Linked DNA regions of Oryctolagus cuniculus. The protein of the gene in region 6 binds, or shares a complex with, the protein of the main gene of each other region. Links are inferred from orthologs where the notes say so. Each region holds a gene or a part of one and is shown on either strand. Other genes may lie near its edges. The genes, in order: PRPF3, CWC22, ARMC7, SNW1, CWC27, SNRNP200 and BUD13.

Evidence for each region.
Region 1: SNRNP200 (region 6) and PRPF3 share a complex: the UniProt entries of both Homo sapiens proteins name them as parts of the U4/U6-U5 tri-snRNP complex. The link is inferred for Oryctolagus cuniculus from reciprocal best matches to the Homo sapiens genes SNRNP200 and PRPF3.
Region 2: SNRNP200 (region 6) and CWC22 share a complex: the UniProt entries of both Homo sapiens proteins name them as parts of the minor spliceosome. The link is inferred for Oryctolagus cuniculus from reciprocal best matches to the Homo sapiens genes SNRNP200 and CWC22.
Region 3: SNRNP200 (region 6) and ARMC7 share a complex: the UniProt entries of both Homo sapiens proteins name them as parts of the minor spliceosome. The link is inferred for Oryctolagus cuniculus from reciprocal best matches to the Homo sapiens genes SNRNP200 and ARMC7.
Region 4: SNRNP200 (region 6) and SNW1 share a complex: the UniProt entries of both Homo sapiens proteins name them as parts of the minor spliceosome. The link is inferred for Oryctolagus cuniculus from reciprocal best matches to the Homo sapiens genes SNRNP200 and SNW1.
Region 5: SNRNP200 (region 6) and CWC27 share a complex: the UniProt entries of both Homo sapiens proteins name them as parts of the minor spliceosome. The link is inferred for Oryctolagus cuniculus from reciprocal best matches to the Homo sapiens genes SNRNP200 and CWC27.
Region 7: SNRNP200 (region 6) and BUD13 share a complex: the UniProt entries of both Homo sapiens proteins name them as parts of the minor spliceosome. The link is inferred for Oryctolagus cuniculus from reciprocal best matches to the Homo sapiens genes SNRNP200 and BUD13.

What each region holds. Positions count from the first base shown.
Region 1 is NC_091438.1:47,633,445-47,636,944, forward strand, and holds part of PRPF3 (U4/U6 small nuclear ribonucleoprotein Prp3), read right to left. Parts: intron 2,080-3,500; coding exon 1,961-2,079; intron 1,682-1,960; coding exon 1,598-1,681; intron 1-1,597. UniProt on the Homo sapiens protein: Plays a role in pre-mRNA splicing as component of the U4/U6-U5 tri-snRNP complex that is involved in spliceosome assembly, and as component of the precatalytic spliceosome (spliceosome B complex).
Region 2 is NC_091434.1:61,056,119-61,060,207, reverse strand, and holds the start of CWC22 (pre-mRNA-splicing factor CWC22 homolog), read right to left. Parts: upstream 2,801-4,089; 5' UTR 2,539-2,800; exon of another isoform or gene 1-2,538. UniProt on the Homo sapiens protein: Required for pre-mRNA splicing as component of the spliceosome. As a component of the minor spliceosome, involved in the splicing of U12-type introns in pre-mRNAs. Promotes exon-junction complex (EJC) assembly.
Region 3 is NC_091448.1:5,404,931-5,409,116, reverse strand, and holds the start of ARMC7 (armadillo repeat-containing protein 7), read left to right. Parts: upstream 1-1,386; 5' UTR 1,387-1,582; coding exon 1,583-1,673; intron 1,674-2,159; coding exon 2,160-2,303; intron 2,304-3,667; coding exon of another isoform or gene 3,668-3,696; exon of another isoform or gene 3,697-4,186. UniProt on the Homo sapiens protein: As a component of the minor spliceosome, involved in the splicing of U12-type introns in pre-mRNAs.
Region 4 is NC_091451.1:23,412,519-23,415,304, reverse strand, and holds the end of SNW1 (SNW domain-containing protein 1), read left to right. Parts: intron 1-1,375; coding exon 1,376-1,539; intron 1,540-1,619; coding exon 1,620-1,818; 3' UTR 1,819-2,286; downstream 2,287-2,786. Other genes in the region: SLIRP (SRA stem-loop-interacting RNA-binding protein, mitochondrial), read right to left, coding at 2,332-2,403. UniProt on the Homo sapiens protein: Involved in pre-mRNA splicing as component of the spliceosome. As a component of the minor spliceosome, involved in the splicing of U12-type introns in pre-mRNAs.
Region 5 is NC_091445.1:85,773,957-85,777,456, reverse strand, and holds part of CWC27 (spliceosome-associated protein CWC27 homolog), read right to left. Parts: intron 2,378-3,500; coding exon 2,265-2,377; intron 52-2,264; coding exon 1-51. UniProt on the Homo sapiens protein: As part of the spliceosome, plays a role in pre-mRNA splicing. Probable inactive PPIase with no peptidyl-prolyl cis-trans isomerase activity. As a component of the minor spliceosome, involved in the splicing of U12-type introns in pre-mRNAs.
Region 6 is NC_091433.1:111,275,318-111,279,320, reverse strand, and holds the start of SNRNP200 (U5 small nuclear ribonucleoprotein 200 kDa helicase), read right to left. Parts: upstream 2,801-4,003; 5' UTR 2,628-2,800; coding exon 2,583-2,627; intron 2,063-2,582; coding exon 1,899-2,062; intron 396-1,898; coding exon 224-395; intron 1-223. UniProt on the Homo sapiens protein: Catalyzes the ATP-dependent unwinding of U4/U6 RNA duplices, an essential step in the assembly of a catalytically active spliceosome. Plays a role in pre-mRNA splicing as a core component of precatalytic, catalytic and postcatalytic spliceosomal complexes.
Region 7 is NC_091432.1:108,946,649-108,950,915, forward strand, and holds the start of BUD13 (BUD13 homolog), read right to left. Parts: upstream 2,801-4,267; 5' UTR 2,770-2,800; intron 1-2,769. UniProt on the Homo sapiens protein: Involved in pre-mRNA splicing as component of the activated spliceosome. As a component of the minor spliceosome, involved in the splicing of U12-type introns in pre-mRNAs.

The DNA.
Region 1 (3,500 bases), on a different chromosome or scaffold from region 6:
GGGGAGTGAGCTAGTGGATGGAAGGCCTCTCCTCCTCTCTCTGTGTAACTCTTTCAAATAAATAAATCTTAAACAAAACAAAACAAAACAAAACAAAAAAAACAGTATAATAAACCTTCAAATGCATGGCCTGTTGAATTTTCACATACCAAATACACTCATGTGTGTAACTAGTACTCAGACCTAGGACAGTTAGGAAAACCAGCTGTTAAAGAAACCTTAAAGCATAGGCAGGAAGAGATGTATAATTTGGGGCATGCTCGGGCTGACTTGCCCCAATTGGTAGAGTTGGAAACATACCAGGGGATTCCAGTTCAATCCCATCAAGGTGGCATGTGCCAATGCCATCTCACTATTCCAAGTGATCAATTTCAGTTCACAATTGATCATAATGAAAGGACTAAGAGTCAAAGGGAGCACATAAACAAGTCTAGTACCTGCTAACACTAACCGATAGAATAAATAAAGGGGAGAGTGATCCAACATGGGAAGTGAGATACTCAGCAGACTCATAGAATGGCGGATGTCCTAAATAGCACTCTGGCCTCAGAATCAGCCCTAAAGGCACTCGGATCTGGCTGAAAAGCCCATGAGAGTATTTCAGGCATGGAAAGCCAAGACACTCTGGCAAAAAGATCTCTGTGAGTGAGATCCCAGTGGAAAGAACAGGTCTTCAAAGAGGGAGGTGCCTTTCTCTGAAGGGAGGAGAGAACCTCCACTTTGACTATGACCGTGTCTAAACAAGATAAGAGTCGGAGAACTCAAGGGGCTTCCATAGCCTTGGAAACTCATGACTGGTGCATAGGGAGATTACTGATGCCATAAACAGGAGTGTCAATTTGTAAAGTCAACAACAGGAGTCACTGTGCACTTACTCCTCATGTAGGACCTCTGTCCTTAATGTGCTGTACATTGAGGCTTAATGCTATAACGAGTACTCAAACAGTATATTTCACTTTGTGTTTCTATGGGGGTGCAAACGATTGAAATCTTTACTTAATGTACACTAAAGTGATCTTCTGTAAAAAAAAAAAAAAAAAAAAAAAATTATCAATTCCCAACTTGACTCTCACTGGGATTAAACATGACAATAGGTCTGATCTGATTTCATCATCATTTAAAAAAAAAATCATCTATTATTTTTCACTTTATGTTTCTGTGTGGGAGCAAACTGTTGAAATCCTTACTTAAGGTATACTAAGCTGATCTTCTGTATATTAAGATAATCGAAAATGAATCTTGATGTGAATGGAAGGGGAGAGGGAGTGGGAAAGGGGAGGGTTGTGGGTGGGAGGGACGGTATGGGGGGGGGAAGCTATTGTAACCCATGAGTCGTACTTTGGAAATTTATATTCATTAAATAAAAGATAAAAAAAAAAAAAAAGCATAGGCAGAAGAACTTTAACACTCATGCATATGATCATGTAACAAATACTCAATCACTATTCAGTAGTCCCCGAGTCTGAATGGGTCTTTCTAAAATTTTGCACACTATCTAGTGTTAGAGTGTCACAGGGAAGGAAGTAATATAAACAGATCTGTGTACCATCCCCACTTCCCAGGCTCTCCCACTTAAACCCCTTTTGCCCCCATTCACCATCTCCCTTCGTGTTAGATGTCTGTTCATCCCACTTTATCCGATGCAGCATAAGACGCTTAAATTTCTTCTGGGCCTTGGGGCCTAGAAACAGAGAAGGAGAATTTTGCAGAGTTGTGGAAGATGATGGATAGAAAGAAACTCTGAGCTCATCTAATACTCCAAGAGGTCAATGTAGCTGAAGCAATCCCGGGAACCACATCTCGGGGCCTTCTACTCCAATAAACACATCAACAGAGGCTCAGTATATTACACCCAAGTATGCACTGTGATACTATCTTATTCTTCCTTTTCCCCACAATGCTAATCACTGTAGGCCTATGGCTGTCTGGGAATAGTCTCCCTCAATTTTTTCAGACTCACCCCCTTCCACTACTACCACGTTGACATCCTTGTGGAGTACCACCACCCCTGTCAGGTACAGCTGCCCAGCATTGGCCTCAATCTTGAACTTCTTGGCTGGGTTGCTCAAATTTCGAACTCTGGAGAAGGGAAAGCTTAGTTATGTCTTCCATTTTAGCATCAGGTAGTTGCCTGAATGGAATGGCAAATAAATGAATGGATCCAAAACAGACTTCTCTCTAAAAAACAAAAGTCTCTGGAGTAAACAAATACATGAATACTTAGAAGGTAGAACTGACGAGTCTGCAAATATTTCCACTATGTTGTATTTCTTCACAGTCTAGCACTATACATTTTACAAGTAACAGCTGATCAAAATTTACTCTAACAATGAGGAAGTTATTTACTGCTATCCAAAAATATTTATAAGTTTGTTATTCTTTGGTTTTTAGAAAATTTTTGTTTATTTTCATTTTATTTTGAATGACATGAGAGAAAGAGAGTCACAGAAACAAACAGATCTTCCATCTGCTGGTTTACTGCCCAAATGCCTGTGACAGCCAAAGCTTGGCTAGGCCAAAGCCAGGAGCTCAGGACTCAAACTGGATCTCCCATATGGGTAACAGGAACCCAAGTACTTGGGCCATTATCTGCTATTTCCCAGGGTGCACATTAGCAGGAAACTGGAATCAGAAGTAGAACTGGCGCTTGAACCCAAGCACTCAGATATGGGATGAGTGTCCCAAGCAGGATCTTAATCACTGCACCAGTACTCATTCCAGTGCACTGTTCTTGACAGTGTAAAGACCTACACATTCTTTGTTCTCTAGATGCTTATAATGTAGTCACCATGAATGCATAAAAGCTTTCTAAAAGGATACATGAAAAACTGTAAATAGTAATTAACTCAGAGTGGACTTACGGGATTAGAAAATAAAAAAAGGACATTTTTCAGTAAGTGTTCTGTAAAGTTAGAATTTAAAAAAAAATCTTTACAAGCATTCACTACTTTGTAATAATGTACCATTTTTATAAAAAAGAATTAGGTCTTATAAACAAACACATTTAAAAACAGAAGACATATTCAAAAGAATAAAATAAAACATTAAATTAACACAAAGGTAGAAAAAATATTTGTCATCCAAACGCATTTTTTGAGTGAGGATAAAAGGATTACTGAAATAAATGAAGATAAACATATGACTACTGGGGCGGTGCTGTGGCACAGTGGGTAAAAGCCATCGCCTGCATTGCTGGCACCCCATATGGACACTAGTTAGAGACCTGGCTGCTCCACTTCCAATCCAGCTCTCTGCTATGGCCTGCGAAAGCAGAAGATGGCCCAAGTCCTTGGTCCCCTGCACCCAAGAGGGAGACCCAGAAGAAACTCATGGCTCCTGGCTTTGGATTGGCACCAGCACTGGCCGCTGTGGCCATCTGGGGAGTGAAGCAGCAGATGAAAGACCACTCTCTCTGCCTCTGCCTCTCTGTAACTCTGCCTTTCAAATAAATAATAAATCTTAAAACATAAATATTACATATATAACCACTGAAGAAAAAA
Region 2 (4,089 bases), on a different chromosome or scaffold from region 6:
CTTTAGCCAGCTATTCTTCAATTACAGGAGCTCTTGATGTGTCCCCAGGCCTAAGCAGCCCATAGTCCCTTTCTGGTGTCTGCTCACTGGGAAGTCTTGCTAGCCTGGCTACAGTAGCAAAGGTCTGCTTTAATGTACTGCTTCTTCTCCTGAAGTTCTCTTTTTAAAGAAAATGCTTTGAGAGTGTACTTTGTTGAAAGCCTCGAAATGTCTCTTTTCAATGTTCACTTGAGAAATGCTTGCAGTAGGAAACCAGCAGGCCTTATTGTCCCATTACCCTCCAATGGCAGAACTGTCAGACTTTAACAGAAAGGGAAATTCAACAAGGAAGCCCTCCAAAACATAGGTGGAATCATATATATATATATTACCAATAGCCCCTTTTTTCTTACTTAGAATAGCTCTAGGATAGTCATGACTAAGTTAGGGATAAACCAGGTAGAGCAAAATTCAGTCTACATACAAGATGGCAATAAATAGCAACTACCGTTCAAGTTAAGGCATAGTATAGGCACATAAAGGGTACTACAGACACATAAAGTGCCACTGTCTCCTTTGTTGAAGTGATGTCAAATACAAACCACTGTAGGTCATTTGGCAATGCAAAATTATGAGATAATCTCTAACAATTCAGCAAATGAGAAAACTAACAAAGAAAGGTGTTTTATAAAAGTAGTTAAGTAGTCTAGGAAGCATCAGAATTGCAAAAGTGAGTAAGCCAAACTACCCAAAGCAGGGAAGGATGTGGTGAAATAATAATGATGGGAAACTGGTTGGCCACGAATCAAATAATTTGGAACAAAGAGGGCAGGCAACCTGATTTGGGGAACCACAGCATATCTCTAAGGCATTAGCTTTTTTATGGTCTGGTAAAAAACATACAGATGGGTCCCATGCCCCAGTTTTTGATTCAACAATTATTACATGACTAACAAGTTCCAAGGAGATACCGGTGCTGCCGACTTGGAAAACCACATTTTAGGAACCACTAAGCCAGGGTAATAGAAAAAGCTTTTTGGCCTCTAAAGTACCAGTAAAAGAATCTCAGAACTCCAATGAGTTAGGAAAGATTCCACAAAAGTGACACGAGCACTTAAAAGTGGCAACATTCAGAAGCAAAGAACAAGCACTAAGGAACAGAGAAAACTCATTAACTCTATCATATATTAACAATGTTAAAACACCGGAGGCCAGCCCGGGAGCACACTGCCGGACATGCAATGCCTTCAGACTCAACCAGTGAGCCAGGCAGTTATTATTACAACTATTATTACCTTTAGACAAGGACTCTGAGACTAAAGATGTTAGTACACTTGCCCCAAGTGATAAATCTAATAATCACTGAAGCAAGACTGCAATCTCTGGCTTGCCAGTCCATCACCCAGCACCCACACAAGTCATTTCCTCCTCCTATAGACAACTGCCTGCAGCAACGCTTCCAAAACCGCACTTTTAACGCTAATCCTAAGTCTGCCCTTCCACAGGATAACTGATGTTAACTCCTGTGTTCCTAAATAAATCTAAATGCAGATAGGGAAGAGGGAGGCTAACTGATCTTTTTTAAGACCAACTTTGTTCGTTTATCTGCTATTTCTAGTCTGTTGATATCGCATAACACAAAGGAAACTCATCACATTTAAATCACCCAACTCCTACACCCAGAATAGCCTTTTCCCAAATTTCTCATTCTCACTCCCCTCAAAGCACGGAGGATTAAGTAAATACAGGTAAAGACGCTATTTCAGTTAGTCCAAGCAAAATTAACTATCATATCACCATTACATTGAAGTGTATTGTAGGACTCCAGAGCTCAGCAGAGAGTGACGAACCGGAGGACCAAGTTAAGGAGTTGTCAATCTTATTGGAAGTGGTTCAACTAACGGCAGGACGAAAGATGATAGATGAAGACAATGGAAAAGGAGGGGTTCCCAGGACTAAACATCTGTAAGTATCAGTAAATGGCAGGGCAAATACATGAAAAAGAAACCACTAGTGAAATTTTACAAAGAGAGTCACAGGGATAGTACTCCGCCGAGAGGCTTTAAAGTCAGTTAGCTATCTCTTAAATGAACTATAGTTCATTAATCCTATTCCCGAGTCCCTGGGACCCGGGCACTAGGTAGGGGCCTGGGCAAGCCCCCTAACTCGAGAGGTTCGAAGTGACCCGCGCCCAAAACACTGCACACGGCGGGAGGAAGAACCAGCTCGGATGCAGTCACCCAGCAACTGAGACACGGCCAAGGTACGGCGCAGGAACCTCATGAGCCTGAGGTCCGTCCGCGCAGGCGGAGAGCCAGCTCACGGCTGCCCACTCTCCACCTGACGGGGCGACTCGGCCCAACCCGCTCGCTTAGCCCAACCTCGCGGGCCCGCGCGTGGCGGGAGGACGGCAACGCGCTCCCGGGGCCGCCCACAGCCGGACCCGGCGGCATACTCCCCCCGCCCACAGACCTCCTCACTATCCCTCCCGGTCCAACAACCCGCGACCCCCCACTGCAGTTGCCTCCCCGGGACGACTCGACCGAGTTCGATAATTACCTAGAGCTCCACCGCGGCGCCATTACACCGGATGCACGTCACTTCCCCTTCCCGGGCACCGGCAAGAGGAGGAAGGCGGAGCGTGAAGTACGTAAAAACCGGACGCTCATTTGGGTTTGACGCGCTTTGCCTATTAGGTTATCTTAAACACCACATCACAACGCCAGATTGAAAGCAGTGCATCTAATCATACTGTCTCCTTACCAACACGGCAACGAAAAGCAAGTAGACCCGAACTACAAAGACCAGCATCCTCCCTCTCGTCAGACGGAAATGACTAACCGCAATTGTAGTTTTAGCGCGAGAAAGCCCCAGTGGACGATGGGAATTGTAGTTCTTGGATATAAGCATCTGCGACTGCCTCCAGGCTGCTCACAGAATACCTGAGAGTAATTAGGGTTTGATAAGATTAATTATAATCCAAAACTGTTTCTCTGCGGTTGGCAGAAAAGTAGTCCTCTGTGGTCACGTTTCCGTGAAAATATTAAAAAACAGAAATCCTCTCAGACATTTTGGTTTGACCAAGAGCATATTAAGCAAAATGTTACTAAATGATTAAGTGCCTACTAAGTTCCAAGAGAATATTAGCCCATTAATAGACTGAGAGAAGCTAATTCTGTGAAGACGATGATGTCTCTCTTTGGGCTAAGATACCAGGTGACAAGACACTGTCGAGATAAAGAGATTCCGCAGCTGAGTTAGAAACTGTCTTATACAGAGTTCAGAGGTAGGGCTTCAATCAAACAATTTCCTTGAACTTTCGTTTTTGCAATCACAAAACCCAGAAGTCCAAGTAATTGTTAACTGTTTGGGGAGTTCTCTTGCTTTTTTAAACCAGGACTGGTTTCTGCAAATACTTCATTACAATTTTAGGTTATTTGTGCTTCTAACTCTTTCCTAGTTGCAGAGATTAAAGGCATTAAAAAACAAAATGGAGCTGGGCTACTTATGCTTAAACGATGGATTTATTCATGAATCATTGACTTCGAGTAAGTTACTTCACATTCTGTGTCCATTTCCTGATTTGTAAGGAGTAAAAGCAGTACCCACCTATATTCTGTTTTATCAATGATGCAATGCTTGATATACAACTGCAATTGGGCTAATACTTGGTTGAAGTTGCTATAGTCTATAATAATTATCCTAATTCAGTTGATTTCTTTAGATCAGACCGTCAAAATTAATTGGAGCTATGTTGGCATTATCATAAAACCTTGACATTTTTCTGGATATCATTTAAAAAATTTTTTTTTCTATTCTGGGTATCATTAAACTCTACTATTCACATATGACACTGATTTTGATTGCTCTCTTGGCCAAGAGAGAAAGTTCAAAGACTTTTGCTTAGCCTTATCCACTGTTACAGTTTGGATGATAGTTTGTGTGTTCCCCAAAGGTCTGTAGGTTGAGGACTTGATCCTCAAAGTCTTATGTTAACCATTAACAGGTCAATGTTAATGGTTGAAGGATTAAGGGTTGAGGCTTAATCCAATTATGGTGTCTGGAAGGTGGGCTCACTAGGAAGTATTTAGATCATTGGGAGCTTGCCAT
Region 3 (4,186 bases), on a different chromosome or scaffold from region 6:
CCAGGCACTGGGCAGAGAGGGGCAGCAAGTTCTGCACAAAACCAAGGATTGGGAGTTCTCCAAGCAGGCCCTGAGGCCTTAGGAAGGGATAAGACCAGACACTGGGGGAGGCTGGGTTGCCCATCGGGCACCAAAACCTGCGGGTGTTTTCCTGGGAAAGCAGTTCCTGGCCAGAGAAGGGAGGAGCTCACCTCCGTGTGCCCTCAAGCCCCAGGCTCCTGGTCCCCAGGCCTTCGCTGCTCTGTCCAGCAACAGGCGGGAAGTCCCCTGGCTAAGACACACTTTCCCAGGCCATCCAGGATCCCCACAGAGTCAAAGGACAAAGGGCAGCTATGGTACCCAAGCACCAAGGCCAAGGTCAGAATGGCGCTGTGGCACAACTGGTTAAATCCACGGCCTATAGTGTCGGCATCCCATGTGGGTGCCGGTTCGTGTCCCAGCTCCTCCACTTCCAACCCAGCTCCCTGCTAATGTGCCTGGGAAAGCAGAGGAAGATGGCCCAAGTCCCTAGGCCCCTGCACCCACACGGGAGACCCAGAAGAAACTCCTGGCTCCTGGCTTCGGATCGGCACAGCTCCGGCCGTTGCGGCCATCTGGGGAGTGAACCAGCAGATGGAAGACCTCTCTCTCTCTCTGTCTCTACCTCTCTCTCTAACTCTGTCTTTCAAATAAATAAAATAAACCTTTAAAGAAGAAGAAGGTGTGCATAGGGCAGGGCTGCAGCCTGCGTCCACCGCAGCTGTACTTGGCCCAGGGATGCAGCCACATTCCTTGGCCCCAGGAGCTCACAGCTCCAAGCACCATGGGGATGTGGCAAGGCCTCCTTTCCTGGTGCTGTTCTCTCCTGAGAAGCTCCGAGGAGTCAGACCAAAGGGCTTCAGGATCCCGGGCCCAACAACGCAGAAAGCTGCAGCGGTCCACAGGGGCGAGCTGAGGCTCCTTCCAGGGCCCTCCGGTGCTGCCCGGGACAACCCAGCTGTCAGAGGCTTAGGGCAGGACCCCAGTCCTCGGGACTTCGGGTCAGAGGTGGAGGGCCCCAATGGGGTCAGAGCGGAGTCGGCCGGACTTGAAATCCTGAAGGGTCGCAGGGAGCCGACGCTGAGGCTCCAGGGGGACGTCTAGGGGAGAAGGCTGGGCTGCGACCGCCAGCGGGTGTGGGGAGTGTGCGTCTGCCTCGACAGCCCCCTATGTGGGCACCCCCAGATTCTGCGGCACTCCTGGGTCGCCCCGGCTCCTCGCCGCATACCCGACCGCGCACCTGTCTGCCGCGCGCGTCCCCGCGGGCCCGGAGCTCATTGCGCACGCGAGCCGAAGAGCTCCGTGACGGCCCCGCCCCTTCTCGCCTCGCCCCGCCCCGTCTCTCCCCGCCCCGCCCCTTCCGCCCTCCGGGGGCGGGACTAGCGCGGCTTCCGGCCGGGACTCTGACAGGATCCTGAGGGTCCCGCCTCCCACTTGCCGTTTCGAGCTGCGGATTCTCGCAGGACCTGAGCCCCCCGGCCGCTGCGGTGAGGGTCTCACGCGGCTGTCCAGGCTGCCTTCTGCCCTTGTCCCACCGGGCCCAGGAGCGCTCGGCCGCCCCGCCATGGCCCAGAAGCCCAAGGTGGACCCCCACGTCGGGCGGCTGGGATACCTGCAGGCGCTCGTCACGGAATTCCAGGAGACCGCGAGCAAAGGTGAGAGCCGCGGGTGGGCGCCGCCGCGAGCCGAGGGGAGAGCCGAGGGGAGGGCGCGGGTGGGCGCCGCGAGCCGAGGGGAGAGCCGCGGGTGGGCGCCGAGGGGAGAGCCGCGGGTGGGCGCCGCCGCGAGCCGAGGGGAGAGCCGAGGGGAGGCCGCGGGTGGGCGCCGCCGCGAGCCGAGGGGAGAGCTGAGGGGAGGGCCGCGAGCCGAGGGGAGGGCCGCGGGTGGGCGCCGAGGGGAGAGCCGAGGGGAGGCCGCGGGTGGGCGCCGAGAGCCGAGGGGAGGGCCGCGGGTGGGCGCCGAGAGCCGAGGGGAGGCCGCGGGTGGGCCGGCGCGAGCCGAGGGGAGGGTCGCGGGTGGGCGCCGGCGCGGGGGCCGAGGGGAGGGCCGCGGGTGGGCGCCGCGAGCCGAGGGGAGGCCGCGGGTGGGCCGGCGCGGGGCCGCCGCCCGGGACCGGCTCCAGGGTCGCTTTCCCGTTGCAGACGCCAAGGAGCAGGTCCTCGCCAACCTGGCCAACTTCGCCTATGACCCCAGCAACTTCCAGTACCTGCGGCAGCTTCAGGTCCCGGATTTGTTCCTGGACTCGCTGTCGGAGGAGAACGAGACCCTGGTGGAGTTCGCTATGGGTAAGGGGGGCCGGACCCGACACCTGCGGGGCTGCCGCGCGATGGGAGGGTTGCAAGGGAGTCGTCGGCAAAGCGGCCTTTAGGGGCCCCCCTTGTCGCCCCACAGGCCATCAGGTCACAGCTAATGTGCGGGAGTGCGGGGGTCCCACCCAGGCCCCACCCTCTGCCTAGAGATGGGATCGCAGACAGGGAATGGGAGGGAGCAGCTTGGAGGTGGATCTTTAATGCGACGATAATGTAGACTTTAAAGTCTTTGTCGTTTACTGAAAGGCAGAGAGAGAGAGATTGAGAGATTGCACCCACTGGTTCGCTCTGCAAATGGCCACAACTTCTCCCAGGTCTAGGCCAGGCCAGGCCAGGGCCAGGATCCGGGACCTTCATCCCTCAGGTCCCCACAGGGGCAACAAGGGCCCAGCACTGCCTTCCCGGCTGGATCAGAAGCAGAGCAGCTGGGACTTGAGGCAGGACTCCCGCCAGTTGGCCCACTGCGCCCTCATCCCTGTCCTCGTGCAGAAATGTTTGAAGTCCATACATAGGTTTTTTTGTGAGACTTTTTCATGAACTTGTAATTAATTAATTAATTTGAGAGGCAGAGAGACAGACAGAGCTTCCATCTGCTGTTTTACTCCTCAAATGACAGAAATAGTCAGGGCTGGTCCAGGCCAAAGCTGGGGGCCAGGAATTCTATCCAGGTCCCCCCCCATGAGTGTCACGGATCCGACTACTTGAACCCCTCATACAGTGCCTGCCCAGTGAATACAAGGATATTTCAGCAAGTTAATGGGAAGTGGAGTTAAAATATAAGGGTGTTTTTGGTGCAATTAAAAAAATTAAATTTTTTTCATAATGCACATATTCTATGAATTTTTAAAAATATTTCCCCCCACTCTACTGTACTCTTCTCTTCCTTCCTTCTTTCCTTTTTTTCTTTTCTTTTTTTTTAAGATTTATTTTATTTATTTGAAAGAGTTAGAGAGGTCTTCCATCCGCTGGCTCACTCCCCAAATGACCGCAGCAGCCAGAGCTGAGCTGATCCAAAGCCAGGAGTTTCTTCCAGGTCTCCCACATGGGTGCAGGGGCCCAAGGACCTGGGCCATCTTCTATTGCTTTCCCAGGCCACAGCAAGGAGTTGGATCAGAAGTGAAGCAGCCAGGACTTGAACTGGCGCCCATATGGGGTGCTGGAGCTGCAGGCCAGGGCTTTAACCTGCTGCACCACAGCGCCAGCCCCTTTTTTAAAAAAAAAAAAAATTTACTTATTTGGGGGACCAGTGCTGTGGCACAGTGGGTTAAAGCCCTGGCCTGAAGCGCCAGCATCCCATATGGGTGTTGATTCTAGTCCTGGCTGTTCCACTTCCAATCCAGCTCTCTGCTATGGCCTGGGAAAGCAGTAGAAAACGGCCCCCCTGCACCCACGTGGGAAACCCAGAAGAAGCTCCTGGCTTCAGATCGGTGCAGCTCCAGCCATTGCGGCCATCTGGGGAGTGAACCAGCAGACGGAAGACCTCTCTCTCTGTCTCTACCTCTCTGTGTAACTCTGTCTTTCAAATAAATAAAATAAATCTTAAAAAATAAGTTTATTTATTTGAGGCCAGCACTGTGGTGTAGTATGCTAAGTCTCTGCCTGCAGCGTCAGCATCTCTTACGGGCACCGGTTTGAGTCCTGGCTGCTCCTCTTCTGACCCAGCTCCCTGCTAATGCTCCTGGAAAGAAAGCAGCAGAGGAGCGCCCAAGTGCTTGGGCCCCTGCACCCATGTGGGAGACCCAGAAGAAGTTCCTGGCTCCTGGCTCCTGATTGGCCCAATTCCAGCTATTGCGGCCATTTGGGGAGTGAACCAGCAGATGGAAGATATCGCTCTCTCTCTCTCTCTCTCTCTGTAACTC
Region 4 (2,786 bases), on a different chromosome or scaffold from region 6:
TGTCCCTTTGCTGTGCAGAAGCTCTTTATTGTGATGAGATCCCATGAGTCGATTTTTCTGACCCAGAAACTCCTTTCCTTCCATGTCCTGAAGCATCTCCCTTTTTTTTATAGTAGTTTCAAAGTTCCTGGTCTTAACATGTAGTTCTTTGAGGTTTCCAATGTATAAGATCGTGTCTTCTGTAAACAGTGATGGTTTGATTTTCTCCTTTCCGATTTGGATGCCCTTTCTTTCTCTTGCCTCATTGCTGTGGTTAAGACTTCCAGTACCATGTTGAACAAAAATGGTTAAAGTGAGCATTCTTGTCTTATTCCACATCTTAGAAAACCTTTAGCTTTTCCCCTTTTGTTATGTTGTTGGTCAACATGGGATCTTTAAAAAATGAAGCTGTAGATTAACTTATGGGACAGGTTGTCAGAAAATTGATTTCTAGTTATCGTTAACTAGCTACTGGGACACTATAGGCCTGGAAACGTACTTTTCTGTTTGAATTCACCTAAGATTGATATTAACTCTGCATAAGTTGTGAGATCAAAGATCGAGTGCCTTTTCCTTCAAGGATCTTATAGCCTACTGAAGAAGATACACACAGAAAGACTGGCTTAGAATACAGAAGTGTAAGTTCCACTGGATGTAGAGGGGGAAGGGTTAATTACGACTTCAAAGTTTTAGGAAGATTTGAAGGCAATATCCTGGTAAGCTTGTATAAGTAACAATCATAAAGGTATTAGGTGCTTTTTGTATTCCTGGTATTGTTCTAAATCTTCTATCATCTCAAATAATACAGTATAAAGTCATACTGTGTTCTTTAGGTGAGGAAATTGAGAGGTTTAGCTAGTACTGATGAAATTAAGATTCAAGCTTGGATGTCTTGACTCCAAAGCTTTGTTCTTACCCACTATGCAATGGGAATTTCCAGAGCAAAGGGAGTTAGTGGTCAAAGTTCCACACAAGTAAATACTTTCACGACAACTGTTACAAGCTTAAGCTTAAAGCATTTAAAGTTGTGATGAAAACATCTCCATTGTTTAAGATTTCCGCTGAGGAAATACGAGGGATATAATACTTGTTACCGTAAATGGCATCAGAGAAATGTTTCATAGTTCCTGCATCTTCGTGTCTCTGAGTATACACAAATGAAAACGTCAAGTTTGCTCTTACAGTAGTAGCACCTTCCTGTGTTAATGATTTCTTCACATGTACCTGATCCAAGGCTGTGGGTGAGAATGTGATGGTGGTAGGAACAAAAGTATATGCACTTTATGACAGTTTTTTAATTTGTAGTTCAGCTTGCTCTCCAAGAGCACGGGTTTATATATTTAACATGATTGTAGTAAACAGATTCAGTTTCAGTAACGTGTCCATTTTCCCACAGGGTATGGACAGTGGATTTGCAGGTGGAGAAGATGAAATTTACAATGTTTATGATCAAGCCTGGAGAGGTGGTAAAGATATGGCCCAGAGTATTTACAGGCCCAGTAAAAATCTGGACAAGGACATGTATGGTGATGACCTAGAAGCCAGAATAAAGACCAACAGGTACAAAAGCAGACAGCTCCATTTCAACATTCACACCAGTGAAAACAAAGTAGTTCATAGTCCTTTCTCTTTTTCCCTAGGTTTGTTCCCGACAAGGAGTTTTCTGGTTCAGACCGCAGGCAGAGAGGCCGAGAAGGACCAGTTCAGTTCGAGGAAGATCCTTTTGGTTTGGACAAGTTTTTGGAAGAAGCCAAACAGCATGGTGGCTCCAAAAGACCTTCAGATAGCAGCCGCCCCAAGGAGCATGAACACGAAGGCAAGAAGAGGAGAAAGGAGTAGACGGCTGCGTCTCTTCAGAGAGACTGAACTGTTATCTGTAACCCTAGTGATGCAAGTCATGTGGGGAACACTTTGTAAATGGTCAGGATAAAACCAAATCGGTGTGCAGACCCCAGGGCTACTTTTTACTACAAGAGAAAGGGGATTGAAAATTCTACTTTGAATTAGATTTTTTTAAAGATTGAGTTCTGTTTGTGTGTCTCCCACCTGTCGGCACTTATAGAACATACTGCCCTACACACAAAATTAAGGCCACTTCCTTTTGTGTGATGCTAGTAGTTTGGGGTTCATATTTGTATAAGAATGACTGCTAAAGAATAAAGTTACCCCAACCACAGTGAGTTCACATACTGGAACTGTCCTGCCAAATGAATTTTGCCCCTATTGTGTTCATTTTATTTTGGAGTAGGGAAAGTAAGGTCTTGCTTAGAGCAACTATTTGTTTCAAATAAAAACATTTAGACAAAATTCTCAGTTACGTTTACTTTATTAAGTAGGCAGTAATTAAAACTCTCAAAAATCTTTCTCTTCATCAGATGTTTGATCCCCTTGCAAAACTTTTGGTCTTTGAGCTTGAACGTGCAGCTGAAAAAAATCAAGGCAGCATTGTAAGGAAAGGCAACGTCTGCAGAAACACTAAACGTGGCTACTTGAAAACCGCCATCTTAGGATTCCGCACCAGTAACTCCAGCAGCTGGTGATTCCTTTCTCTTTAGATTCCCTCGGCTTCAATTAAAAATCGTAAATCAGGCAGGCATTTGGTGCAGCAGCAAAAGTGCTGCTTGGGATGCCCAAATCCTGTATCGGAGTGCCTAAGTTCAAGTCCCAACATTGCTCCCAGTTCCAGCTTCCTAACACACACCCTGAGAGGAAGCAGGCAATAGCTCAAAGAGTGAGGGCCCTGAAAACCATGTGGGAGAGAAACCTGAGTTGAATTCCCTATTCTTGGATTTGGCCTGGCCCAGCCC
Region 5 (3,500 bases), on a different chromosome or scaffold from region 6:
CATGGCAACCAGTCCTCTCCTATTAAAACGCAACCGAGAGTGAAATTCATCCTGAGGTACAAAAAATATTTAGAGAATGTTCTCAGTTATAAGATATTTCAAATTCAATTGATTATTTACCTGACCAGTAAGATCTCAAAATACTAACAAAATCTCAAAATACTAACAAAAATGATAAGTTTAATTTAACTGACTTTTAAGTGTAATCAAGTCTAATATTTATACTTTTAATGCACTTAAACTAGAAATCACTAACCTATAAGTATATTCTAGACATACTCAGCCACAGATCAGCATATTTTGTGGAAAGCTGTCTACTAACATGCAGGGGAAGGGTATTCATTTGGGAGTAGATTTCTAAGATTCACTTCCCTATTATTATCCCTCAAAACCATCCAAGCTTTTAAAATCTTTTTTTTCTTCAAGAAAACAATGTTGAGTCATTGCAGAGTCTTCAGGTAATAGTCATCATCTCATTATAAATGTCGTAAAACAATTGCTTTCTTCTCATTTTTTAATTAAAGGAATTTATTCTGATTATGTTAAATGATTTCACTGTGACTTCACTGAAGCCCTAAGCTGAATCTTCTCTGAACTGGCATTGGTCCAATCTGCTAGTTTCCGAAAGGGCAGGAGCAAGCCTTTCTAAGATGGTTATCTTGCATGATAGGGTTACTTAACACATACATAAGCCACTTTGTTTACAGAATATCCAATGGTTCTAGGCCTTTTGGCTAAGATTGAGTACACAGAATTTCCATCCAGACCTGATTTTGCATTATGTATAATGTAGCCATGAATGTAATCACTGCTTGTCATAAATGAAGTTATTTTTCCTTAATAAGTTAATTCTCAAAGAGATCTGAATTCAATGAATCATTACTCTATATACTGTATTTTAAATTACCTAACATAAAAATTTAACAAAATAATTGTAGTATATGAAAATAAAAAAGCAAAAAATTAATCAGAAAGGAATTGTAAAAAAAGCTATTCTGTTACACCAAATACTAGAATAAAGGAATGCTTCCTACTAGACAGAGGCTCTAAAACTATGAGTCATTTTACTTTGGTAAATATAAATAGGCTAACTTGACATCTAAATTTTTTCATAATCATTTCCTATTTCCTAAGGCCATTATCATCTGGAAATTAAAGCAAACAATTCATAAAGTATTTTTCTGAAGACTCACACAGTAACTCAGAGAAGAAAGGAAACTCCAGACATTCTACCCCATTAACAGAAATATGAAGTTTTCAAAAACTTCTAAATTCTAAGAGCTTTTGATGTTCATTCATTCAAAGAACATGATACAGGTACCAGCAGTTAATAATGAACACAAATTTTAGTTTTCACTTGAACACACAGTTCTTTCTATCTTAACTATGACATTACCTCATTGTTCTTCTAAGATTTGTTGGTAGTTAAGAAATCACTGACCTATTCCTAATGTATCTTTTTCTAACACTTTTTATGTTGCTTTTCCTGTTGTGATTTTTCAATTGTGGTGTGCATTTTGTGCCGCGAGATCTATTGTGCATGATTTAGAATATATTCTTCTGTGAGCTGAATTGTGTAACCCCCAAATTCATACACTGAGCTCCTAGCCCACAATGTCACTTATATTTTGGTCCGTGAGGAGGTAATAAAGGTTAAAACAATGTCATAAGGATGGGCCCCTAGTCCAATAATGCTTGCGTCCTTATAAAAATAAGGGATTCCAGACTTCTCTTTCCCTTCTCCACTGTGAGGATGTCAGAGAAGGCAGTCATCTGCAAGCCAGAAAAACAGACCTGACCGCGAACCACTGCTTGATCTTCTCAGCCTCAGAACCATGAGAAACAAACCCTACTGTTGAAGCCATCCAGCCTGGTATTTGGTGATAGCAGGATGAGCAGTCTACTACAGATTCCAGATACTGTTTACATAAAACTTAAAGTAGAATAGCATATGCAGTGTTTAAAAAATGCTTTCATTTACAGAGCTGCAGATATTCAATACAGACAGACATCAGGAAATACTCTATCTTTATTCTGAACCATGTCTTTTTCACTACCTCCTTGAGTTCCCCCTGAATTAATTCTAGTATAAAATCTTACATTAAGACAACTTACAAAGAATGCTTGATGGGAAAAGTGTTGTTCTTATGCTGTGTAATCTTAAATATGTGACAGACATTGATTTTGCATACTAACATTTCTTTTTGGAATTTTTTTTCTTAAGGGACACATCGTTTTTGAGTAAGCATTCCAAGCTCACTTGCCTTGAATGGGGCTCCATAGATAGACTCTCCACCAGTCCCTGTGCCAGTAGGATCTCCTCCTTGAACTATAAAACCAGGTACAACTCTATGAAAAATGGTGTTGTCATAATAAGCTGAAAAAAAAAAACCAAAAATAATTTAGCAATATCTAAAATCAAGCCCATCTACCATTGTCAGAGCTAATATACAACTTGATCCAAGATTGGTTTTCTTCAGCTCCCAAACCAATACTTTATTTTTCCTATTTCTTAAAAAATATCAGGGCTGGCACTGTGCCATAGCAGGTAAAGCTGCCGTCTGCAGTGTCGGTATCCCATATGGGCACCAGTTCAAGTCCCGACTGCTCCACTTCCAATCCAGCTCTCTGCTATGGCCTGGGAAAGCAGTAGAAGACGGCCCAAGTCCTTGGGCCCCTGCACCCATGTGGGAGACCTGGAAGAAGCTCCTGGCTCCTGGCTTGGGATGAGCCCAGCTCCAGCAGCTGTAGCCAACTGGGGAGTGAATGAGCAGATGGAAGACTTCTCTCTCTCTCTGCCTCTCCCTCTCTGTTACTCTGCCTCTCAAATAAATAAATAAATATTTAAAACAACAACAACAACTAGGGACATATCAAGCAAATGAAATCTGTGATATTTTATTGAATCCTGAATTTAAGAAAATAGTTATAAAAGAAATTGTTAGAAATATCAGAGAGGCAGGCATTATGGTGCAGTAGGTTCAGCCACTGTGTGGGGTGTCTGAACCTCTTATGGGAGTGCCAGTTTGAGCCCTGGCTACTTTGTTGCTGATCCAGTTTCCTGCTTTTCTTATTTCCTACTTCTTTTCTTCACTCCGTGGAGAATTAATTCATTAATATGCAAACAACAAACAAACACACAATATATCAAAATTATTCAGATTGTAGGTCTACCACCATCAATGCACTCTCCACAAGAAACTTTTACTAAACAAGGTAAATAATTAACATAATATATATGTGAGTCCAATTAGACTACAAATCTGTTTGCTAAATTAATGAAATTATTTACATTTATATATAAATATACAATTTAGAAGTCATAAACATACAGGATAGGTTATATATGATCTCCTGTAGTATGAGTATCTGGACTCTAGAATCATTAGGAAGTCTTGATAGAGAAGAAAGAAGTTAACTTGGATATGGCAGAAAGCATGGCATCTCAGTGAAGCAAAGAATTTGGTGGGGAGCAAGAACTCGAGTTTGACTGAATACGA
Region 6 (4,003 bases):
CCAATTTTTTTTTAATAGCATCAATCCATAGAGTTGATGTAAAAGGAGGAAAAAACCATGTAAAGTATCATTTCACTTCAACCAAACACTTCGTAAATACTAGTCACTTCCGCAAGTTGGTATGAGCCACACAGGGAAATCCAGAGACAAGGTTCTTCTGGTGTCCCCCAGCCGTCACCCCCTCCCTTCCCAAGCACAGGCACTCACTCTCTGGCGGCCTCACCTGGTCCCCAAGCGCAGCCTGGATGAAGCTGAGCAGCACCTCATACGTCTCCCGGGTCTCCTTGGTTTTGGGCTTGTAGATGATGCCCACCATCTCATCAATGCCCTCCGACAGCAGGGTATAACCCTTCATCTTGTTGATGTCATGCCGGTCCTCGTCACGCTTTCTTCGCCTAAGGGACACACAGTGTGACATTCCACAGGAGAACCTTGCCTCCCCAAGACAAGAAGAGAATCAAGCCCTCCCTCCTCAGTATCACCGTACACCTGCACCGCAACAAATGAGCCCCATTTCACCTTAATCATTTGCACAAGTATTTCTTTGTAGGACACAGTAACAGAAAGGAAGTGTTCACCCTCTCACTAAGTTCACTAAATGTTACAAGACAGGGTTATCATTAATTTAAAAACACGAGTAGGCATGCAGTACAGCACTCAGTAAGATGCCACTTGGACATCCACAGCCCATATTGGAACATCTGGCTTCAATTCTAACTCCACTTCCAGCTTCAGCTTCCTACTAATACACACATATCCTGGGAGGCAGCAGGAGACGGTTCAGGTGTGTAGGTCCTTGCCACCACACAGGAAACCTAGGTTGCCTTCCAGTCTCCTGGCCTCAACCTGGACCAGCTGCAGCTAACATGGGCATTTATGAAGTAAACGAGCAGATGTGAGTTCTTTAATCGGCCTGTCTCTATCTCTCAGATGAAATAAATTCAAAATACAAAGGGGCCAGTGCTGTGGCCTAGCAGTTATGCTGCCATCTGTAATGCCAGCATCTCCCATCAGAGCAGTGATTCAAGTCTCTGTTACTCGGCTTCCAATTCAGGTCCCTGATAATGTGCTGGTAAAGCAAGGGAAAGTGGCCCCAAGTACTTGTGTTCCTGCCACCCACATGAAGACCCAAATGGAATTCCAGGCTCCAGGTTTCAGCCTGGCCCAACCCCAGCCATTGCAACCACTCAGGGAATGAACCAGCACATGGAAAATCCCTTTCTCTCTATTTGTTACTCTGTTTTTCAAAAATAAATGTCTTAAAAAATTAAAAACCTACTGAGATGAGAAATACCAAAGGTCTTAAAGATACCCTCAAGAAAATTAAGATGTTTATGGACCAGAAACACAAAAAGGTACCAGTATTTTCCACTTGGGTGTACTTTATTTATTTTTTTAAGGTTTTATTTATTTACTGAGAGGTATAGTTACAGACATAGAGAGGGAGAGACAGACAGAAAGGTCTTCCAATTCGCTGGGCCACTCCCCAAATGGCCCCAGTGGCTGGAGCTATGCCTATCTGAAGCCAGGAGCCAGGAGCTTCTTCCGGGTCTCCTACTCGGGTACAGGGACTTGGACCATCTTCTACTGCTTTCCCAGGCCAAAGCAGAGGGCTGGACTGGAAGATGAGCAGCTGGGACTAGAACCAGCGCCCATAATGGGATGCTGGCAGAGCAGGTGGAGAATTAACCCACTACGCCACAGCGCCAGCCCTCAAAGTGTATTTGCTAAGGCCGTAGAATCTTCAAACTCTCATGTTCAGCTTTTACCTTCACCAATCTGTTTTAATGCCACTGCTGTCCAATCTTGCAACACGCACTTCAACAAAAACACTACTAATTGCTAAGGAAAAGACAGACTTCGGTTCTGAAGAAAAACAGGACTCCATCGGTACTTACTTGGCTCTTCTTTCCTCCTGCATCTGTGGTTTGGTCCGTTGTGCCTTATCTCCCATTCGGGTGCCCTCCAGCTTCCCAACCAGGGACAGCACCTCTCCGGTGGGTTCATCTCGGCGGGTTCGGTCAATGAGAGACCGGTCAGCTTGGAGCACAAGATTCGAGTTCTGAAAAGATCAGACCACTGCTGAAGCTCTGACATACGCGAGGCCAGTTCCTGCAGCACCCTGATCCCAGCTCAAGAGTCACAATGAGCGTTAATAACCACTAGCCGGAATATAAAGGTATATAATTTGAAAAGAAATAGCAACACATAACGCTAAGCACGAGCACAGGGCTGATAAGCCCTACGTGCCGTCTATCAGTTGAACAATGCTGGCTTCTAACCATAACAACCCTCATGCGGGAAGTACTGAGCGAGTGGAGAGGGACAGGTGAAGGGGCGGGTTGAACGCTGAAAGGCTTGGCAGCCCGGTCCCACAGAGCTCTCCGCCTTGTCCTGCCCGCCCCAGGCCCCGGTGCGATAATCCGTATCGTCGCATACCCAAACTTTCGCCCCGATCCGATTTCGCCTCCGATTTCGTGGCTTTCCTGCAGGCCTTGAGACTGAACCTCCCACTCGCAGCTTGCCGCCTCCCCTATACACTACACTGCCTCCCCCGAGTCCTCCCCTAAGCCCATACGCACCGCCTTGTACTCGTACTGCAGGCTTCGGGCGGTCACGTCCGCCATGGCGGCAGCCGCTCCTGGCTCTCAGAGATCCACTCCTCCTCACCGCACGCTGAAAACCGCGCTGCTCTCGGTTGAGGACTTCAACAACGCAGGAGAGACGCAACGGAGGGGAAGGAGACGGACTAATTTCCGCTTCCGGGTCGCGCGCCGGAAGTGCGGGGCGGGCCGGGTTTCTGGCAGGCGCGCGCCGCTTCCCGCTGCCTTCTGGGTGGAGCGGTTGGGACTTGTGCTTCCGGGTCTTGGCCCTTCAGAGCTAGGGGCGCCACAGTGCTTAGGGGTCGGGCCTCGGGTCCCGGCCAAGGCACCTTCCACCGTATCGGGATGCACGCCTCCTTTGCGCCTATCCTATGCGCAGCCTCTTTTATATTTATTTATTTGAAAGAGTTAGAAAAACAGAGCAGTCTGCCATCCGCTGGATAACCCCAGGTGGTCGCAATGGCCAGGGCTGGGTCAGGCTGAAGCCAGGAGCCAGGGGCTTCTTCCAGGTCTCCCACGTGGGTGGCAGGGACCCAAACATTAGGCCATCTGACAGTGCTTTTCCCAGGCCACTAGCAGGGAGCTGACTCGGAAGAGGAGCAGCCGGACAGGAACCAGCGCCGGTGTGGCAGGTGCGGCTTTACCCCCACCCCAGGCCTTTTTCTCCAGCTGCTTCCGCTGACTCTGGCAACAGCCCTGGGAAGGCCCCCGGCAAGGAGAGGCCAGTTAGCCTTCCATTTCTGGAAGAGGAAACTGAAGCGCTAGAAAGCAACAGAATCGTGTGTTTCTCTTCCGTATGGAACAACAGAGAAAGCTCCGTCCCCCACCCATCCCACTAACCCCCATGCCCTCGAGGCCCTGGTTCTTGCCCAGCGGAATGAGCAGGGCCAGATCTTTTTGTTCAGGCGTCACATTCCGTGGCAGGGCCGTCTCCACCTCACCGAGGAACTTGGGTGAATGTGGCAGCCCTCCTGGCGGGAGGAACTCCTTGAGGACAGTAACAGTTGCTTCCCAAAGCCCAGGACTGGTAGGCACCGCCCCCTCACCCACCCCTACCATGTCTCACAGGTGGAATGGCAGCTTACAGATGAATGCTTGCATGTTTGCTTCTGAAAAAATGACTGAATAGTAGGATGGGTATTGGCCGGCGCCGCGGCTCACTAGGCTAATCCTCCGCCTGCGGCGCCGGCACACCGGGTTCTAGTCCCGGTCGGGGCGCCGGATTCTGTTCCAGTTGCTCCTCTTCCAGGCCAGCTCTCTGCTGTGGCCCAGGAAGGCAGTGGAGGATGGCCCAAGTGCTTGGGCCCTGCACCCACATGGGAGACCAGGAGAAGCACCTGGCTCCTGGCTTCGGATCGGCGCAGCTCCGGCCGTTGCGGCCATTTAGGGAGTGAACCAAT
Region 7 (4,267 bases), on a different chromosome or scaffold from region 6:
TTCAAGGCCTTCTAAGGATACTACAATCTTTTTTTTTTTTCCTTCTGCTAAACGATCTTTTTTCCGTTCCCTCAGACTATACCCATTACATCAGCAGGGCTGTTCCAGCTTACTGTGGAACTCTTCTCTGCTGACATATTAAATTATATGCCAAGCACACTCCATTCCCTGTCCCCAAGGCCACTGTCCTCTTTAATTTCTTCTTTGATTTTTTTTAAACTTGAGAGGCAGAGAGAGAACGAGAGAGCGAGCTTTTATCCAGTGGCGTTCACTCCCCAACTGCCCAAAATGGCCAGGATTGGGCCATGCCAAAGCCAGGAACTCGGGACTCAATCTGGGTCTCCCACATATAGCAAGGACCCAATTACTGGAGCTATGATCATTGCCACACAGGTCTACATTAGCAGAAAGCTGGAGCCAGAAGCCAAAGCCAGGTGCTAAACCCAGGTACTCAGATATCAGGCAGAGATGTCTTTAACCGGCATTTTAACTGGGCTAAACGTCTGCTCCCTTTTCTGCATTTAAAGGCTGTTCCTCTAGAGGAAGCCTTCATTCCTCGCTTCATTTAAATGACATTACAGGGGGGCTGTCGCTGTGGCTTAGTGGATTAAGCTTCCACTTGCAGCACTGGTTTGTGTCCCAGCTGCTCCTCTCTGTTGGTGGCCAGGGAAGGCAGTGGAAGATATCCAGAGTTCTTGGTCCCAACACCTGCATGGGAGACCCAGAAGAAGCCCCTGGCTCTTGCCTTCAGATTGGCCCAGCTCCAGCTGTTGCAGCCATTTCGGGAGTGAACCAGTGGATGGAAGACTGACCTCTCTGTCTCTCCCTCTCTCTGTCTATAACTTTGCCACTCAAATAAATAAATAAATAAATAAAACCTCCCAGGTGCTCCTGGCCCTGGCTCCTGACTACAGCTTCCTAATAATGTACTTCCTGGTGATGACTCAAGTGATTGGATCCCTGTCATTCATGTGGGAGAACTGGACTGACTTCCCAGCTCCCAACTTCAAACCACCCTAGTCCTGGCTGATGGGGACATTTGGGGAGTGAACTAGCAGGTGGGAGCACCCTTTCTCACTCTCCCTCCCTCTCTCTGGCTGTCTCTCCTCCCTCTCAAGTGACACTAACTTTTTAAAAAAGGATTGTTGTTTAAGAATACACAAACACACACACACACTACTAACAAATACTATCTGAGATGAAATCTGAAATTTCCACAGCCCTCCAGTTTGTTCCCTTCAAATAGAAACTACAAAACTTCTGCAGAATGTTGATGTGTTGCAAATAGATTAGTCAGGCTAAACCACAATGGGGTAAGAAGGAGTAATAAAAAGGAGGGCAAACAGGGACTGTCTGAACTTGTACCTAATAGTATGGGTGCATTTTGATTACATTCCTAGGTTTTGGTTGAGTCATTGTTTTGTACCATGGAGAGAAATATTTCTGACCACTGTTACACATAATAATGAACTATTCTCAAGCAGTTTTCTAAAGAAATTACATAGAGAAAATCATTTCTTTCCCAGAATGAGAAATTCTGTTAAGTTTTGTTAGGTTTACAAAGAATTCAACGGCACTTATCAGCCAGTTTTTAGCACTGAGAGAAGCTGTTTGGGATTTACTGAGAATTCATTCACACACAAAATTTTGTAAGGTATTGTTTAAAAACTTTAATAAAATGAGGTTCCCGCTTGGTTGTCTATCACTACAATCTCTCTCTGATTATCGCTTAAATACCTTAAAAAAAGTTAATACCTTCAAGCACCAGACATCACTCTTTATACTTGAAAATACAGGACATCCTCAAGCAAGTCAATAGTCATTTCACAGAACTGGAATCTTCATGGCACCATCACACTTGCAGCTGTTAACTTTTCCCAAGGCGTTAAGTTTTTATGTTTTTTTAAAGATTTTATTTATTTGAAAGGTAGGGTTAGACACACACAAACACACACAAAGAGAAAGTGTCTTCCATCCGATGGTTCACTCCCTAAATGGCCGCAATGGCCAGAGCTGGGCGGATCTGAAGCCAGGAGCCAGGAGCTTCTTCCAGATCTCCCACATGGGTGCAGGGGCCCAGACACTTGGGCCATCCTCCACTGCTTTCCCAGGTGCATTAGCAGGCAGCTGGATTGGAAGTGGAGCAGCCAATACTCAAACCAGCACTCATATGGGATTCTGGCGCTGCAGGCAGTAGCTTAACCCATAGGCCACAACACCAGCACCCAGTTTTATCTTTAAAGGCCTTCATACATTAGCCTCAAACTACTTTCTCATCATCTTTTAATACTAAACTGATGCATTTACTGTCTCTAAAAAATGACTTGCACTATCATGTTTTCATATCTTTGCTTATATCACTCTGTCAAGAATTGCCTCTTTCCCATTTTTCTCCCCACATATGAACAGACACTTCTGATCAATCCTTGCTAACACTGGCAGTCTTCCCTTCTCTCACTCCTCTAGTCAGCCAAAGGTTTTCTGTCCCTGCTCACAATCTTTGTGGTCTTTGCCCAGATGACCCTATTCAACACTTAGTGAAACAAAGCTACAAATATTCTCTTTTTCATTGACTTGTAATATTTTGCAACTAGAAAAACCCTGTAAAATAATTAGAATAATAGGTTTCCAAGTTTTTTTTAATCACCAAAGATACTTTTGTTTTTAATATATTCCCCCGACACCTGCTTGTCACTCTTAGGCCTTTATGTTAAAAGTCTGCAGACAAAATTTTTAAAAACTTTGTGAACGGCCGGCGCCACGGCTCACTAGGCTAATCCTCCAAGTAGCAGCACCAGCACACCGGGTTCTAGTCCCAGTCGGGGCGCCGGATTCTTTCCCGGTTGCCCCTCTTCCAAGCCAACTCTCTGCTATGGCCCGGGAAGGCAGTGGAGGATGGCCCAAGTGCTTGGGCCCTGCATCCCATGGGAGATCAGGATAAGCACCTGGCTCCTGCCTTCAGATCAGCGCGGTATGCCGGTTGCAGTGCACCAGCCGTGGCGGCCATTGGAGGGTGAACCAACGGCAAAAGGAAGACCTTTCTCTCTCTCTCTCTCTCTCTCTCTCTCACTATCCACTCTGTCTGTCCAAAAAAAAAAAAAAAAAAAAAAACCTTTGTGAACTAAGTTATGTTTATGAATAAACAAAATTTACTTGAAAAACAAAAAAGGATAAATTAAAGATTTATTGTAGGGGCCCGCATCATGATACAGCGGGTTAAAGTCCTGGCCTGAAGCACGAGCATCCCATATGGGCACCAGTTCTAGTCCCGGCTGCTCCTCTTCCAATCCAGCTCTCTGCTATGGCCTGGGAAAGCAGTAGAAGATGGCCCAAGTCCTTGGGCCCCATGTACAAATGTGGGAGACCCGGAAGAAGCTCCTGGCTTTGGATCGGTGCAGCTCTGGCCCTTGCACCAGCGAATAGAAGAACTCTCTCTCTGTCTCTACCGTTCTCTCTGTAACTATTTGAAATAAATAATAAAAAGTTTAAAAAGTCTAAAAAAAAAAAAAAGGACTTATTGTAGATCGAAGTTGCTCAAACTCAGATCCAACAGAGAAAGGATACAACTTCAGTTAACAGCAAAGATAACTGAAATTTTATTTAACCTGGGTAGTTTAATCATGAATACAAAAGCTATAATTATTCTCAGCTTTAGAAAAGCAAAACAGGCCCAGTGTTGGGGCATAGAGGGTAAAGCCACCTTTAATGCTGGCACCCCATATGGGGATTTGTTTGAGACCCAGCTGCTCCACTTCCGATCCAGCTCCCTGCTGCTTGTCTAGGAAAGGCAGCCCAGGAGTGCTTATGCCCTTGCTACCCACTGCTCGACTTCTGGTCCAGCTCCTGGCAAATGTGCCTGGGAAGGCAGTGAAAGATGGCCCAGGTGTTTGGGCACCTGCACTCATATGGGTGACCTGGAAGAAGCTGCTGGCTCCGGCCTTCAGCCTGCCCAGCCCTAGCCATTGTGGCCATATAGGGAGGGACCCAGCAGCTGGAAGTTCTCTCTCTCTCTCTCTCTCTCTCTATCTCTCTCTGACTTTCAAATAAATCTTTTTTTTTAAACAAGTATAACAAAATATAGTTTCCACTGTTATCTACTCAGACCTTATCTTATGATCTTACTTGAGAGAAATCAAAATTAAAAATCATTGAGTTAGGTCAATCTCCTGCAGTGCCAGCATCCCATATGGGGGGTGCCAGTTAGAGTCCTGGCTGCTCCACTTCTGATCCAGCTCTCTGCTGTGGCCTGGGAAAGCAGCAGAAGATG